Linked DNA regions of Ovis aries. The protein of the gene in region 1 purifies or fractionates together with the protein of each later gene. This does not show direct contact. Links are inferred from orthologs where the notes say so. Each region holds a gene or a part of one and is shown in the gene's direction. Other genes may lie near its edges.

Region 1 (5,022 bases):
GTAAGCCAGGAGTGCCTCCTCCCAGAACATGGATTTAGTCAGGAACGTGTTCCTCCCAGCAGGCTGAGGGAGTGGGGTTCAGCCCAGACAGTAGGGGTCACAGAGAGTGGCCTTCCCATTCCCATGCCCTGCTGGTAGTTGGCAGTGTTCTAAAATCACCTCCAAGTAGTATGGGCTTCCGCTTAGAAAGACATGCCCTGCTAAGTAAGTTGTATTTTCTTAAGGAGAGCCCAGATGTCCTTAGGCCATCCGGATGCAGGCTAGAAGACTCCTCTGGGTCCAGTGATGGTCTTCTCTGTCCTGTGTGCTTTTCACAGCCTGGTGACAGGAGCTCTGGTGGACACAGAGGAGTCAGGCAGCACGACTGGGGCTGGTGAAGAATAATCAATATTCAGGGGAGCTGGTGTATTTAATCTTGTCACGTTAAAAATATTGAAATCTCAGCAGACTTAAGTTCTTTATTTGATGTACATCAGGGCTTTCTCATTAAGCGTATTTTTCTGAAATTGTCAGTTATAGGAAGAAAATCATTCTTCTAGCAGCTTTATAATATCCTGATTATTGAATTTAAATTGTTTTAGTGGAAGGAGGCAAAACCGGAAGACCTTATGGATTCAAAACTTAGATGTGTGTTTGAATTGCCAGCAGAAAATGATAAACCAGTAAGTATGTTTATAGTTAACAATAATTGAATGTTGCAAGCTGATACTTATTTGCATACCATCTCCTGCAAAACCAAGATTTAAGTTGGCAAATTATTTTCCTTCTTCTGATGTATGAAGAGAAAAATTCGCTGAAGTCAACAAATAAGTGGGCCTTTGTGAAATCTGCCTTTGAAAGATTCACAGAAAGAACTCATTGAAATTTTTTTTGCCTTTGAAAAGCACAACCTGTTGACTGTTGAAATGTCATAAATTCCGAAGAGCTTCTTTGACTTGGGCAAAGTTCTAGGTTGCTATTATATTTAACAGTGGGAAAGACGGTGAGCGCTCAGCTCCTCTTGTACAGTGCTGTCTGCAGGCTTCCCTGTCTGCATTTCTCCTGAGCACCAACTCTCCACCTCTTGAACCCCAGATTCTCTTCAGTCAAAATGTGCTTTTAGATGAGGATTTCTCACCCTTAGCCCTGCTGACTTTCGGGCCAGGAGTCCTTCGCTATGGTGCTGTCCTGTGCCTTGCAGGGTGTGTTGTGGCATCCTTGACCTCACCCCAGTAGCATCCCTGGTCGTGATGACCTGAAGCGTCTCTGGATGTTGCCAGGTATGCCCTTCCCGAGGCAGAGTCAGTTCCCGTTGAGAATCACCCTTTTTGCTGCCTGAGCACTGAGGGTAAGGAGTGACTCCCTCCCAGCTGCTGGCTCACTTTTCTCTGTGTGAAACCAAAGCATGAGCCCGGTTGGCATGAACCTCCCTTCACCCTAGTCAAAAAACTTAAACTGTGTTAACACAGTTTAAAACCCATGCAGAGTATTAAACCACCCTGGCTGTTAATAGCTGGTGGTGGGAATAGAAATGTTCAAACTCTCAACGTTATCCATAACAATCTCCAGGAATGCTGATGCTTTGTGTCAAAACTACTTAGCATTTTTTTTCTGCTCACTAATGGACCACCGTCACTATCCCATTTCTTCGAATGATTGGTGGTCTTCGTTCCTTTTTTCCCTTCCCTCTTCCCACAGCATGTTCTGTCAGTTGTGGATAGTTGAGGACTGTATTCTGGCCCCAGCTGTGCTCTTGGAGGTTAGCTCTGTGTGTTGAGGTCTTGCTTGCCAGGGCCTCACTCCTCTCCCCTGGGAGACTAAGGGTAGAGCTCGCTGTTCTCCGTTTGCTGCATGGACCCCCAAGGGCTTCCATGCTTCCCCGGCCCCCACATACTCACTCATCCCCAGTAGGTCTTCAGAGGGGATCACAGCGCAGTCGTGGCTGGGGAAGTGAGGAACACATTGCCTCCCCAGGATGAAATACCATAGACACTGAATTTGTTGCACCTTCATCCCATCGCTGCAGTTGTCTTAAGTTCAGGAGACAAATCACCCTCTGGGTTACGTCCCCTCTGGCCTTCTGCCCCCGCCCAGCCAGTTTGGGGGATGTTCGCGTCTTCATAGTGACTTGTGGCTGATGATTCCTGAGCTTGTGCAGCTATGCTCTGCTGATTTTTCATGGCAGGAATTTGATAGTGCAGTGCGCACAGCCCCTTTTCTCTTTCTTTGAAGTATTAGTCTCAGCCGGACTTCATTATTTGCCCTCATCCATAATTTCTGGAGCCCAGTTTTAGATTATGAAGATACTAGGTGATAAAGTGATCTGTTTTAAAAAAATGTGACATTGTACAGTTTGGATGAAACGCTACCCTGGGTGGTGTCTGCTGAGACCTACTTTACTTTGCATGAAGAAGTCCTTTAATACGTGGTTGGTGACACTTGGGCTTTCATTTATTTCTGAACAGCATGATGTAGAAATAAATAAAATTATACCCACAACTACATCAAAGACAGAAACACCAACGGTGTCTAAAGCTCTGAGTTCCTCCTTGGATGACACTGAAGTTAAGAAGGTGATGGAAGAGTGTAAGAGGCTGCAGAGCGAAGTCCAGAGGCTGCGGGAGGAGAACAAGCAGTTCAAGGTAATGGCATTTTGTTTCCTGATCGTCTTCAGGGAATTGGGGCTTTGCTACTATGGTCTTGGGTGAGGAGGTTGATGCAATTTGTGGAGTTGTCTTGTATTTGCACGTTTTTCCTCCAGGCTGAAGTTTCCTAAGGTTCTCAAAACAATCCCTGGACACATGCCTACGTGCATCCCAAAGTAAGAACCAGTGTCCCTTGAGCAGTATTTTTTCAACTATTTAAACTCCTGTCTCCTCATAAAATGACAACAGACAAATAAAAAATCCATTAGTGTAAATTGAAATTAAAAAAACAACAATGGTTATCTTGAGTTCACATTTTCAAGCCCCTTTTCCATCCCCATTGGATGAGAATCTTTTTGAAGAGAGTAAAGACTGACGTGTATTCTGTTTTAAGGCAATCATCATTCTGATTTTTGAATATCCTAAATAGGTCTAGCAGTGGGGTCTCATCCTCTATCAGTATGGTCCGGAGACTGGAGCTGGGATGCTGTCACATCCATGGGGGAGATTACAGGGAACCAGGGGCTCCAGCTTGTGGCCCTGGACCTGGCGAGTGGCCTGGCGCTGGGGGGTGAGGTCGCACTGGTGCTGGAGCGAGGCAGGTGTGCTCCTCTTGGCTTTGGAGGCCTGCGGTAGTGTGGAAATGACCAGCCAAACTTGGACTCACTGTGTAACTTTGTCCATCACAGCGGCTTCTGGCCTCTGTTTGCAAGACCCTGTTAAGGCCCTTCCAGTGTTGAAAGTATGCCTTTCATACACAGGGTTAAAGAGAGTGTTTCTGAACATCTGATTGTAGGATCTTTTGTTGCAGCTTAAGTCTTGAGGCTGATCTGTTCTTTTCATCTTGATCATGTCCCCAGCCACCATAGACTGTCACTCCCTGACTGCGTAGCACCAGGTACACACCATAAATTCACTGCAGGTGACTCTTCCTTCTGTTACTCTGATGAGGTAGGAGACATGGGGGGCCAACGGGGTTTAGAAAGTGGCATCCTTGTCTTTCTCTGCAGTAATCATGCTTTGCCTCATTCAGTGACTGCTGTTGGTATGGAGTAAATTATGAGGCTGACACTCTACTTTTGGCTAAAAGTCTAAGATACGCCTAAAGCTTCTTCTTGAATGTATTTCTCTTCTTTGCCATTTAAAGTGATAAATAGGTGGAAATAGCTTCTATATAAACCCAATAAAATAAATGCTGTACTTTGCTGTGCCCATTTTTTTTTTTTTTGAAGTTAATCGAATAGCACCAGTCATTTATCAGCATGCAGCAATATTGGCCATGCCCCTCAAGCAAAGTGTCTTTAAAATATTATCAGACCAGTCTTGACATTAGAAGATTCTTTATCTTGCCAAACAAGGATTTCTTGTTTTGTGTTGTTTCATACTTTCATTTGGCCACACATTTGCTAAGACCCTCCTGTGTGCCCAGCACTGTGGGATACAGACGTGGGTGGTCCCTGCCCTTAAAATAAGCCCCAGGGTAGCCGGGGAGACACAAATACTGAACCAGTCCCACAGAGGTGGCCATGAGTGTTGTGAGGGGTGGGCTTAAGGTGCTGGCTGCCTCTTGTCATCAGATCTGTCAGACACTTGATTAGTGTGAACGAACTGAAGGAGAAGAGAAGAAAGTGCAGCTGTTGTGGAGGGTGTCAGGGGTGGATTGAGGGTAATTAGAACAGGAAGGCCTTGATGCATGCCCTATTTGGGCTTGTGAAGAAAGGAAAAGTGTCGATTCTCACAGGTCTGTGTAGGTGGGGAAAATGTCCAAGTTATCTTCATGTGTATGAAAAAGATTGTTTCTTCTTTGGTAGAAATTCCATGCATTAAGTAGAAAATATTTGAGACGTGTATATCCAGTTCAGTTATACTTTGATATTACAGACATCCCATTTTCAGTCCAGCAGTCTCCGTGTAACTCACCAAGTATCAACCATGGACAGAGCTCTACATTTAAAAGCATGCAGGTCCCCTACTCGGTCATTTCTTGGGATTCTTTTCTGTGAAGAACTTTTTTCTATAAATCTCAGAGAAACGCATTAGTGCCCTGCTCAAACAAAGGGACCAGCAGCACTGTGGTGGATGCTTGGAAGAAGAGGGGCCTCAAGCCAGTCTCTTCTGTAGGCTGTTTCTCCATTTGCAAAATGAGGAGGTGGGGACCATTTCGTGTGATGGAGTCAGGGCATAACTCCCTGCCCACCCCCCCCCCCCCAGCCCCCGCCAAACCGCGGCTAAGCTGTACTGCTGCCTTCCACTTCTGGTGCTTTGGACTGTCTTTGAAACGTGTTTGCTCCCCTAGGAGGAAGATGGACTTCGGATGAGGAAGACAGTGCAGAGCAACAGCCCCGCTCCCGCGTCAGCCGCGGCTGGGAAGGAGGAGGGCCTGAGCACCCGGCTGCTG
Region 2 (4,043 bases), on another chromosome or scaffold:
GCCCCTGCACTGGAAGCATGGCATCTTAACCACTGGCCCACCAGAGAAGCCCACACAGTTCATAGTTTCTCTGAGCCTGGTGCCTCTGCTAAGCCCGGGCGGGCCACGAAGAAAGGGAAAGAGGAGACTCGGAGGGAGATGGTTGGGTACAGTGAGTGGGAGGGAGGCCCACTAAGCCTAGCTTTGCCTTGCCTCCACAGCCCATTGACCTTGAGTGGGACCCTGCCCTTCCCTGGCCCTCGGCCTGCCAGCTGTTTGTGGAAAGAGTTGAACTCCAATAGCTGAGTGCCCTGCCCTCCTTCACAAGATGCCACCAGGGGGCAGCACAAAGCCTGGGCTGCTTCCACAGCTGGAGGGCTCTGTCTCCAGCCTGAACCTAGAGGGTTCTTTCTCTGGACTAAAGGTGCCTGGAGGGTGGAAATGCCAGTTCACTTAAGCCCCACCCTCGCATGCCTTAACACCCTAACATCCTAAGCTTGGAATCAGCCCTGGGGCTCGGAATACACCCTATCTCTGAGTCCTAAGAGGAAGGAAAAGGAGCCGAGCTGCTTCCCCACCCCTGGGACCTGAGAAACAGTCGAGAGAGAACTGGTTTCCCCAGTGTGGGTGAGACCCTGTGCGGTGCTGCCTTGCACCGACCCAGTGCCTCTAGCCAACTGGGTGCGGTCCCAAGAGCCCAGCCCTAGGCCCTGGCAGCCTTTGCCCACGATCTGGGCGCTATTGGCCAGACTTGTGAACCCGGAAGACACAGGTGGGGAAAGCTCTGGGGCCCCGTTCAGGGAGGAGCCCCAAGACTGGAAGTGAAAGTGACTGCAGCCCTCTGAATGACCTGGCGGTCTGGGACACCGGAACCCCACCGGCTAGGCCAGTGATGTCAGAGACCAGCCGCTGGCTAGACTTGGGACGGGAAGGCGTTTCCCCCACCCTGGGCCCCGGATTCCCAGGGCCCGGGAAGTTGGGGCTGAGACTCTTGTCATATTTCCATAGCACACTGGAGGGCCGGGCCAGGGTGGAGGAAGGATCCCAGAGTGTCTGGGGATCCCAAATAACACGGCCGGAGTACGCAGCGCCAGCATTTGGAGAAGGGCCTCTTCCCCCGCCGCCGTGGGGAAGGAAGGAAGGTTGAGGCCGCCCTCCGCCGCCGTGGGCGGGGCTGCCCGGACCCCGCCGGGGTGGGTAGGGCCGCGCGCCCAGGAAGGGGGCGGGGCGGCCGCAGTGACGCGGCGGGCGGCGGGGAGGGACCGGAGGGGTGCCGGCGGGCAGACCGGGAGGAAGGTCGGGGCCATGGGCCCGCGCTGCGCCTCCAGAGGGTCCGGCCACTGCTGGAATCCGCGGCCGGGGCTGGAGTCGCTCGGGGCTCCAACCCGCGGCCCGTCGGCCCCCGCCCGTACTGGGTGAGGGGCGTCCACCCTAGACTAGAGGTGAGCCGGGACGTTGGCGGGCGGGCCGATCGAGAGCACGGCGGGCGACGGGGACGCCGGGGAGCAGAGGGAAGTGGGGGCAACGGGGCCTCTCGCTTGCTCAGTGGGTGCGAGGTGGGGGTACGGCGGCAGCGAAGTCGGGGCGCAGGTGGACGGAGCAGCTTGCAGGGCGGGGGCCCGTAGGGTACTTCTAGCTTGAGCCTGAAGAGTGTGGTCAGCCCTGGAGAAGGAGGATGAGGCAGCTGCATAGACGAGTGCCGGGGGTCCAGGAACGATGCGGGGAAGGGGGAGTTGGGGACTGGGCTGCCCGCCAGGGTGGGGAAGACAGGTCTCGGGGCGAAAGTGTTATCTAGTCTTTGAAGGTAGTTTCGGGTGCAGGGGGAGGGGGGCGCCCGGGGCTGCTCCGCGGAGAGACGCGGGGGACAAGGTTCTAAGTGGACGTCCAGGAGTGGGGACACGGACCGACTCGGGGAAAGGGATGCAGGGGGCGGGCCCCGAGGGGCCGGTGGTGGAAGGCGGCCCGGAAGGAGGGGCCCCGGGGTTTCCAGGGGCGGGTCCCCAAAGGATGCTGTTCCGAGGGGCTTAGGACGCCGCCGCGGCCGGAGAGGCGAGGCTGGCCCGCCAGCCCGCCGGCCACCTCCCGCGGCTCCTGGGGGCCCGCGTCAGCGCGCGGTTGCCATGGCGATGGGCGGGCGGGGGGCGGGGGCTGCGCGGAAAAGAGGTCAGCGCTCAGCCTCTCGGCGGCTCCCGGCCCCCCGCGGCGCTGGCTGCAGAGCTGGGCTCGCCGCTGCCTGCCCTGTGGCGAGCCCGGGCATGGGGTCCCCGCGCCTGAGCCCCTCGGCCCGCGCGCAGGGCTCGGGGCCGCGCGCCGCCGCCCCGCACTGACGGCCGCGCGGTGCCCTGCGCCAGGAGCCGCGGAGGCCGCGCGCGGCCGGCCGAGCGCTTTCAGGATGCTCATCAAGGAATACCACATCCTGCTGCCCATGAGCCTGGACGAATATCAGGTGGCCCAGCTCTACATGATCCAGGTGAGGGCGGTGGCAAGTAGGAGGCCGAGGAGGGGATGGGAACATGCTTCATGTTGGGTATCCGCAGGAGTGCGCAGGCCACACCTGGGATAAGGGGCCGGGCTCAGCTCAATCCCCTGCCAGTCCAGCCCCGAGGCTTAGGAGGGCTCAGGCCAGAGCAGAAGAGAGCGCGTCCCCAGTCGGATGTGGGGGAGGGGTGGGGTGATTAAGGACCGTGCGAAGAGGGACCGAAGGGCCTGGTGGTGCCTCCCCGAGTGCCCAGCCCCTGCTGAACGCTCAACCCCTATCTGATCTCCTTTAATCCTCCTTAGAATCCGTAATCCTCAGCGGGTAGGGAGAGGAGCGCATGAGGAGTCAAGAGTGGGGGGCAGAAAGTGAGGAGGGGTCCCAGGGGGTAGAGAAAGACTAGGAGAGGTTTCCCAGAGGGTGAAGGAACCTGGCCACCCCCAACGGTCAGGGAGATGGGCTGAGGCTCAGGGCCGGAGGCTGTCAGAGGAGCAGGCAGGGACCCCAGAGGGTGAGATCTGGGCTGAGAGGAAGCATGCAGGGAGTCAGGCTTGGGAGGAGAAGCTAGAGCCAGGGCAGGTGCCCATTTCAGAGGCGTCCCCTGAAATGTGGGACCAGAATCTGAACAGGCAAGAGGGTTGGGATCTGGCCTCAGAGGGTTGGGTGGGCCATGTTCAAACTCCTGAGCTACATAAGGACAGGATCTGAGTGCTCTCCAACTAGGAGGGGTGTGGCAGGAGCTGGTATTGGGGTCCTAGAAAGGCGGGTATCCCTTTTACTCTCCTGATTCTTCCAGCCTGCCCACCCTGGCCCCTTGCTGGCAGGGCATGCAGCTTGTCCCCCTCAGGAGCTTACACGGGCTCTCTCTCTGCTTGAAACACACTCCCACCCCATATCTGCCCCGCACCCTCCTTTTCCCCCCAAGTCATCTTCAAATCATGGTCATGTTATCTTTTCAGTGAGGCCTTTCCTGACCATCCTATCAATACTGCAACCCCCAACTCTATCCACCTAACCCTAGTCTATGCTTTCTTTTTACCACAGCACTTAGGACCCTCTAAGATGCTTTTTTTCTGTTTTCTGTCTACTGTGTCTCCTTCCGCTGGAGTGTACAGTTCCACAAGGGCAGGCAGGGGTCTTTACTCTGTACATCACCAGATCGCAATGAATATAAGCCCGGACAGTGCCTGGAATAGAGCAGACAGCAAATACTTGAATGACTGAACAAGTCCTGGCTTGCAGAACCCCAGAGGGGACTGGTCAGAGGCTATAATCCTGACCCCAGTAGCTATAGGGGAGCAGGTGGAATTTCAGAGAGCTAGAAAGGCTGGGACTCAGGCCTCAGAGCTGCGCTGGGGATGAGGCCTAAGTGGGGAGCCCGTCCCAGGAATGGAGTTAGGACTGAGGTGCCTATCCTCCTCTTGCCCTGGGCTGCAGAAAAAGAGCCGAGAGGAGTCGAGTGGCGAGGGCAGTGGCGTGGAGATCCTGGCCAACCGGCCCTACACGGATGGGCCGGGTGGCAGTGGACAGTACACGCACAAGGTATACCACGTGGGCTCCCACATCCCAGGCTGGTTCCGGGCGCTGC
Region 3 (4,253 bases), on another chromosome or scaffold:
GCTCTCTGGCTGTGGTTATCGCACAGTGGTTACACAAGATGGCACCACTGGGGGAGACTGGGTGAAGAGTGTCTGCAAGCTCTCTGTTGGCTTTTCAACAGCTTCCTGTGATTCTAAAATTATGGGCAGGTAACTGGAGGGCTGGAGGCCCTTCAGCCCTGAGAGCCAGGACTCCCTTCATGAGCCCAGGGCCTCCGAGCAGGGGAAGAGCAAAAGGAGATGCCGAGGCCCAGAGACAGTCTTGTCTGGGTCCCCAGCTGCAGAGGCCATTAGCCAGGCTTCAGGGCTCCCAGAGCCGTGCTCACCCCGGGGGCACCTCCCTCCCAGTCTGACTGTGTGGGGTGAGGGTGGGGAGGCAGGTGTGTGTGCACCTACCTGGGAGGTGCTGGGGGCACCTGAAGGGGCACCGTGTTCAGACACAGTGTGAAGCCCCCGGGCCAGGGCAGAGGGCAGGACACAGTGATGGGAGCACAGAGACACTGGGCCGGGAGGCAGCACCACTGCTGAGGGGCCCAGGGCAGATGGCCTGACAGGCAGACAGGGTGGGAGCGGGTGGAGAGGGTCCTGAGGCCGGTTTTCTAGGGCCCAGGCCTAGAGATGTCAACAGCCAACCCTCTGCATCACAGAGCAGTGTCCTCAGCGCCCCAAGCCCAGCGGAGCACAAGCAGCCGGTGCATGGCTGGGAGGGGGTGGGAAGGCTGGGCCAGATGCCTGGCTGACTGGCTGTGGCACGCGACGGGTGGGGGTTGTGGTTGGTGAGGTTTAATGGGCTTTGCTGTCCCCACCCTGGCAGCCTGCCTTCAGATGTGGTCCCCACGCACCCCCGTCACCAGGGTCCCAAGCCCCAGGGACGCAGGACAGAAAGCTGGGCCTGACCCCAGCCCACAGCTGCCCTCTCGGGCCCTCCTCGCCCCAGGGCCTTGGCGCGGTTCATCATGCAGGACCACTCCTGGGGGTTGGGGGGTGTTGTTCTCAGCAGGGAGCCAGGGCTGGGACCTAGAACTGGGTGCCTGCCCTGTCCACGCCGGGCTGTGGGAGGGCCCCTGAGGCTGGGTCAGAGCGGCCCAGCTCCTGCCTCAGAGGCTCCCAGCCCAGCACCCCAACTCTCCTTCCACAGCGGGTGAGCATCTGTGCATGCTTTCTGTCCCACCTGGAAAACTGGAAACAGTCGGGTTGGACCAGGATTACCAGCAGTGTGGGGGCGTGTCAAGGCTATCGCCTTGCTGTGTGTCCTCAGGAGAACACTGTCCCTCTCTGGGCCGCAATGGCCCAGAAGCGCTTGGATTTTGGTCCCTGAGCGGTTCAGAATTCCGCCATCTGGGGCCGGTGGCGGCGAAGACACTCGCACACCCGCCAGACGTCTGTCTGTCGGGGGTGGGGTGAATGTTTCCGGCCCCGCCCCCGGCCGCACGTGACCGCAGGTGGCGGCAGCGGGGTGGGCGGGGCCGCACTTAGTCACCGCAGCCAGCGCCCGCGCCGCCCGCGCGCCCGGTAAGCGAACCTCGGCCCGCGCCCCTGACCCCCGACCCTAGGCCCCGGGGAGACCCGCCCGCTTACGCGCCGGCCTGAACCTACTGCGCGCAGACCCCAAGGGGTGCCGATCGCGGCGCTGGGAGCTTTGGGGGCCCCTTCCCACCCCGGAAGCCCTGGGGATGCGGGGCGCCGCCGAGCAGGGCCAGAGGTCGTCGGAGAGCAGACTTCGGACCCTCCTTCTTGGGAACTTCTGGGGAGTCCCTCGCCGCCCCTAGTTCCCCCCAGAAGTCGCCAGGACCTTGGCAACTCCAAAAATCCCCCGGGAGGCGGGCTCCCGCCCCCGCCCCCAGCAGGTACCGGCACCCGGGCGGGAGGCGTGCGCCCCCGCCCCCCGCCGGCCCCTCCTCGGCGCGGCCGCCCCTCCCCGGCCCCGCCTGCACTCTGACCCGACCCTGCCGGCCCGCCCCTCCCGCAGGTCCCGGGGCAGAGGAGCGGCGGCGGCCCGAGGCCCCAGAGCGCTCAGCGCCCAGCCGGAGACGGCCCGGAGCTGCGGAGCGCGCGGCCGCCATGGCCTTCTCGCAGGTGCAGTGCCTGGACGACAGCCACGTCAACTGGCGCTCCAGCGAAGCCAAGCCCGAGTTCTTTTACAGCGAGGAGCAGCGGCTGGCGCTGGAGGCGCTGGCGGCCAGCGGCCGCGACGCCTTCTACGAGGTGCTGAAGCGCGAGAACATCCGCGACTTCCTCTCGGAGCTGGAGCTGCGGCGCATCCTGGAGACCATTGAGGTGTACGACCCCGGCTCCGAGGACCCTCGCGCCGGCGCGCAGCCGCGCGGGCCGGAGGATGGTGAGGCGGCCAGCGCGGCCGAGGGCACCCCCACCGAGGCCGAACCGCTGCCCTCGCTGGAGTACTGGCCCCAGAAGTCGGACCGCTCCATCCCACAGCTGGACCTGGGCTGGCCCGACACCATCGCCTACCGGGGCGTGACCCGGGCCAGCGTCTACATGCAGCCCCCCATCGACGGGCAGGCCCACATTAAGGAGGTGGTGCGCAAGATGATCAGCCAGGCCCAGAAGGTGAGTCGGCCGGCCAGAGTCCCCAAGAGACGCAGCCGGGCAGGCCTGACCTGTCCCGGTGTCTCAGGCGTCCACACGGGTGCACTCAGCCCAGCCCGGGCTTTCGGCTGCCTGTTGGGCCGCCTCCCTGCTGCCTTCGCCGGCATCCTCGGTTTCTCTGCAGAGCGGGCACCTGGATCCCCTGTCCGCTGACAGCAGGCTGCTCTGGCTCAAAGGATCTTTGTGCATCGTTGGGGGGTGTTTCTGACTTCCTCAGACTTGGCGAGGAGGTTCCCCAGAAGAAGGTGCTTGGGTGGGGCAGGAAGGATCACAGGGCTCCCCTCACTGTCCGCCGGGATGGCTCTGAGAAGCAGGAGGTTCCTGCGCACACGTGCTCCCGAGTGCTCTGGTGTTGCTTTTATGGATGGTGGAAACAGTCTGGGACCTGGGGTAGGCATGGAGACTGAGAAGTAGCCTGAGGCTGGCCTGGAGATCCAAGTTCAACTGTGCCTTTTCCCTTGCTGTGCTGGGTGACTGAGAGCAAGTAGCTCTCCCTCTCTGAGCCTCTTTGCAAGCTTTGCAGTGGCAGAACCTTCCCAGAGTGGGAGGTGGGGACTGGTGATGGTGTGTTCCTGGGGGTGGAAGCAGAGCAGGTCCCAGTGAGGGTTGTCAACCTGGATTGAAGGGACCTCAGGCATTGTCTGGACCTCCCTCGGAGCGACCCCAGCCGAGCTATGCCTTGTCCCGCTGTGGATATCCATTCAGCTGACACACTGACATACCTTCTGAGAAGGGATTTCTCCACTGGCAGGCAGCCAAGCCCTTGCTGGATAGCCGTGACCATAAGCGGGGCCTTCTCTTGCTTCCATGGATTTCAAGGCACATTCTGAGATGACTGATAAAGCCTGCCTCATGAGCAGGGTTGAGGATTCAAAAGCCAGCTCTGGACTCAGTAGAGAGGAGTAAGTGATCAGCAGTGCCTGTTCTGGCCTTGGCCCGGCAGGGCAAGGTATTTCTAGCTGAGTCGAGCCCCTTCACTATTCTGGGCCCGCTCAAAACCTAGACAGTGGCCTTGGGGAATCATCCTGGCTGACAGGGCCCAGGGGAGCTTTTGGGCAAAGAGACCAGAAGTGGGTCAGGCACTGACAAGCTGGCCATGGCTTAAGTTTCTGGAAAGGTGGAGTCCCTGTTTCCTGAGGGGGCTGGCAGGGTCGGATAGCCTATCTTGGGGAACCTGGCTCTCGGCCTGATCCCAGGCAGCTTTGGGGCTTTGGGTTTCTGCTCTGTGAAACGGAGGTGGCGGGGATGAAAGCCGTGAGGATGGAGTCGGGTGTCAGAGTGAGGAAGAGGTGGGATGGAGGAACCATCAGTTTTCAGACTGAATAACCTGCTGTGGCGGAGGGGGGTGCTGCTGGCGTGGGTGCCAGGCTTGAGATCGTGGATCCCAGTTCCCTAGGAGTGCCTGTTGGATCCCATTACCCAGCCTCCACCCCCTTTTTAAAAATGGAGAAATTGAGACCCTGGTAGAGGGGGCTTGACCTGCCGTGCTGGGGCGCCTCTCCTCCCCAGTAGAAGTAGGAAAGAGGTAGATCCCAGAGCCCAGACTGCTCAGGAACAGCTGAAAAGTCTTATCACCCCAAGATGGAAAGACAGATGGCCAGGTCCAGACAGGGGAGCCTGGGGCCAGGCTGAGCACCAGGGCCTCCTCCCTCCTCTCTTGTCTCTGT

The links.
Region 2: the proteins of VAPB (region 1) and PITPNM1 purify together in Homo sapiens (affinity purification with mass spectrometry; 5 studies listed by BioGRID and IntAct, counting the BioPlex papers as one, with this or other methods). This does not show direct contact. The link is inferred for Ovis aries from reciprocal best matches to the Homo sapiens genes VAPB and PITPNM1.
Region 3: the proteins of VAPB (region 1) and FAM83G purify together in Homo sapiens (affinity purification with mass spectrometry; 3 studies listed by BioGRID and IntAct, counting the BioPlex papers as one, with this or other methods). This does not show direct contact. The link is inferred for Ovis aries from reciprocal best matches to the Homo sapiens genes VAPB and FAM83G.

The regions. Positions count from the first base shown.
Region 1 is NC_056066.1:57,608,492-57,613,513, reverse strand, and holds part of VAPB (vesicle-associated membrane protein-associated protein B/C), read left to right. Parts: intron 1-581; coding exon 582-662; intron 663-2,444; coding exon 2,445-2,621; intron 2,622-4,920; coding exon 4,921-5,022. UniProt on the Homo sapiens protein: Endoplasmic reticulum (ER)-anchored protein that mediates the formation of contact sites between the ER and endosomes via interaction with FFAT motif-containing proteins such as STARD3 or WDR44.
Region 2 is NC_056074.1:41,789,852-41,793,894, reverse strand, and holds the start of PITPNM1 (membrane-associated phosphatidylinositol transfer protein 1), read left to right. Parts: upstream 1-1,243; 5' UTR 1,244-1,421; intron 1,422-2,330; 5' UTR 2,331-2,371; coding exon 2,372-2,449; intron 2,450-3,892; coding exon 3,893-4,043. UniProt on the Homo sapiens protein: Catalyzes the transfer of phosphatidylinositol (PI) between membranes. Binds PI, phosphatidylcholine (PC) and phosphatidic acid (PA) with the binding affinity order of PI > PA > PC. Regulates RHOA activity, and plays a role in cytoskeleton remodeling.
Region 3 is NC_056064.1:33,980,534-33,984,786, forward strand, and holds the start of FAM83G (protein FAM83G), read left to right. Parts: upstream 1-1,453; 5' UTR 1,454-1,491; intron 1,492-1,948; 5' UTR 1,949-2,040; coding exon 2,041-2,547; intron 2,548-4,253. UniProt on the Homo sapiens protein: Substrate for type I BMP receptor kinase involved in regulation of some target genes of the BMP signaling pathway. Also regulates the expression of several non-BMP target genes, suggesting a role in other signaling pathways.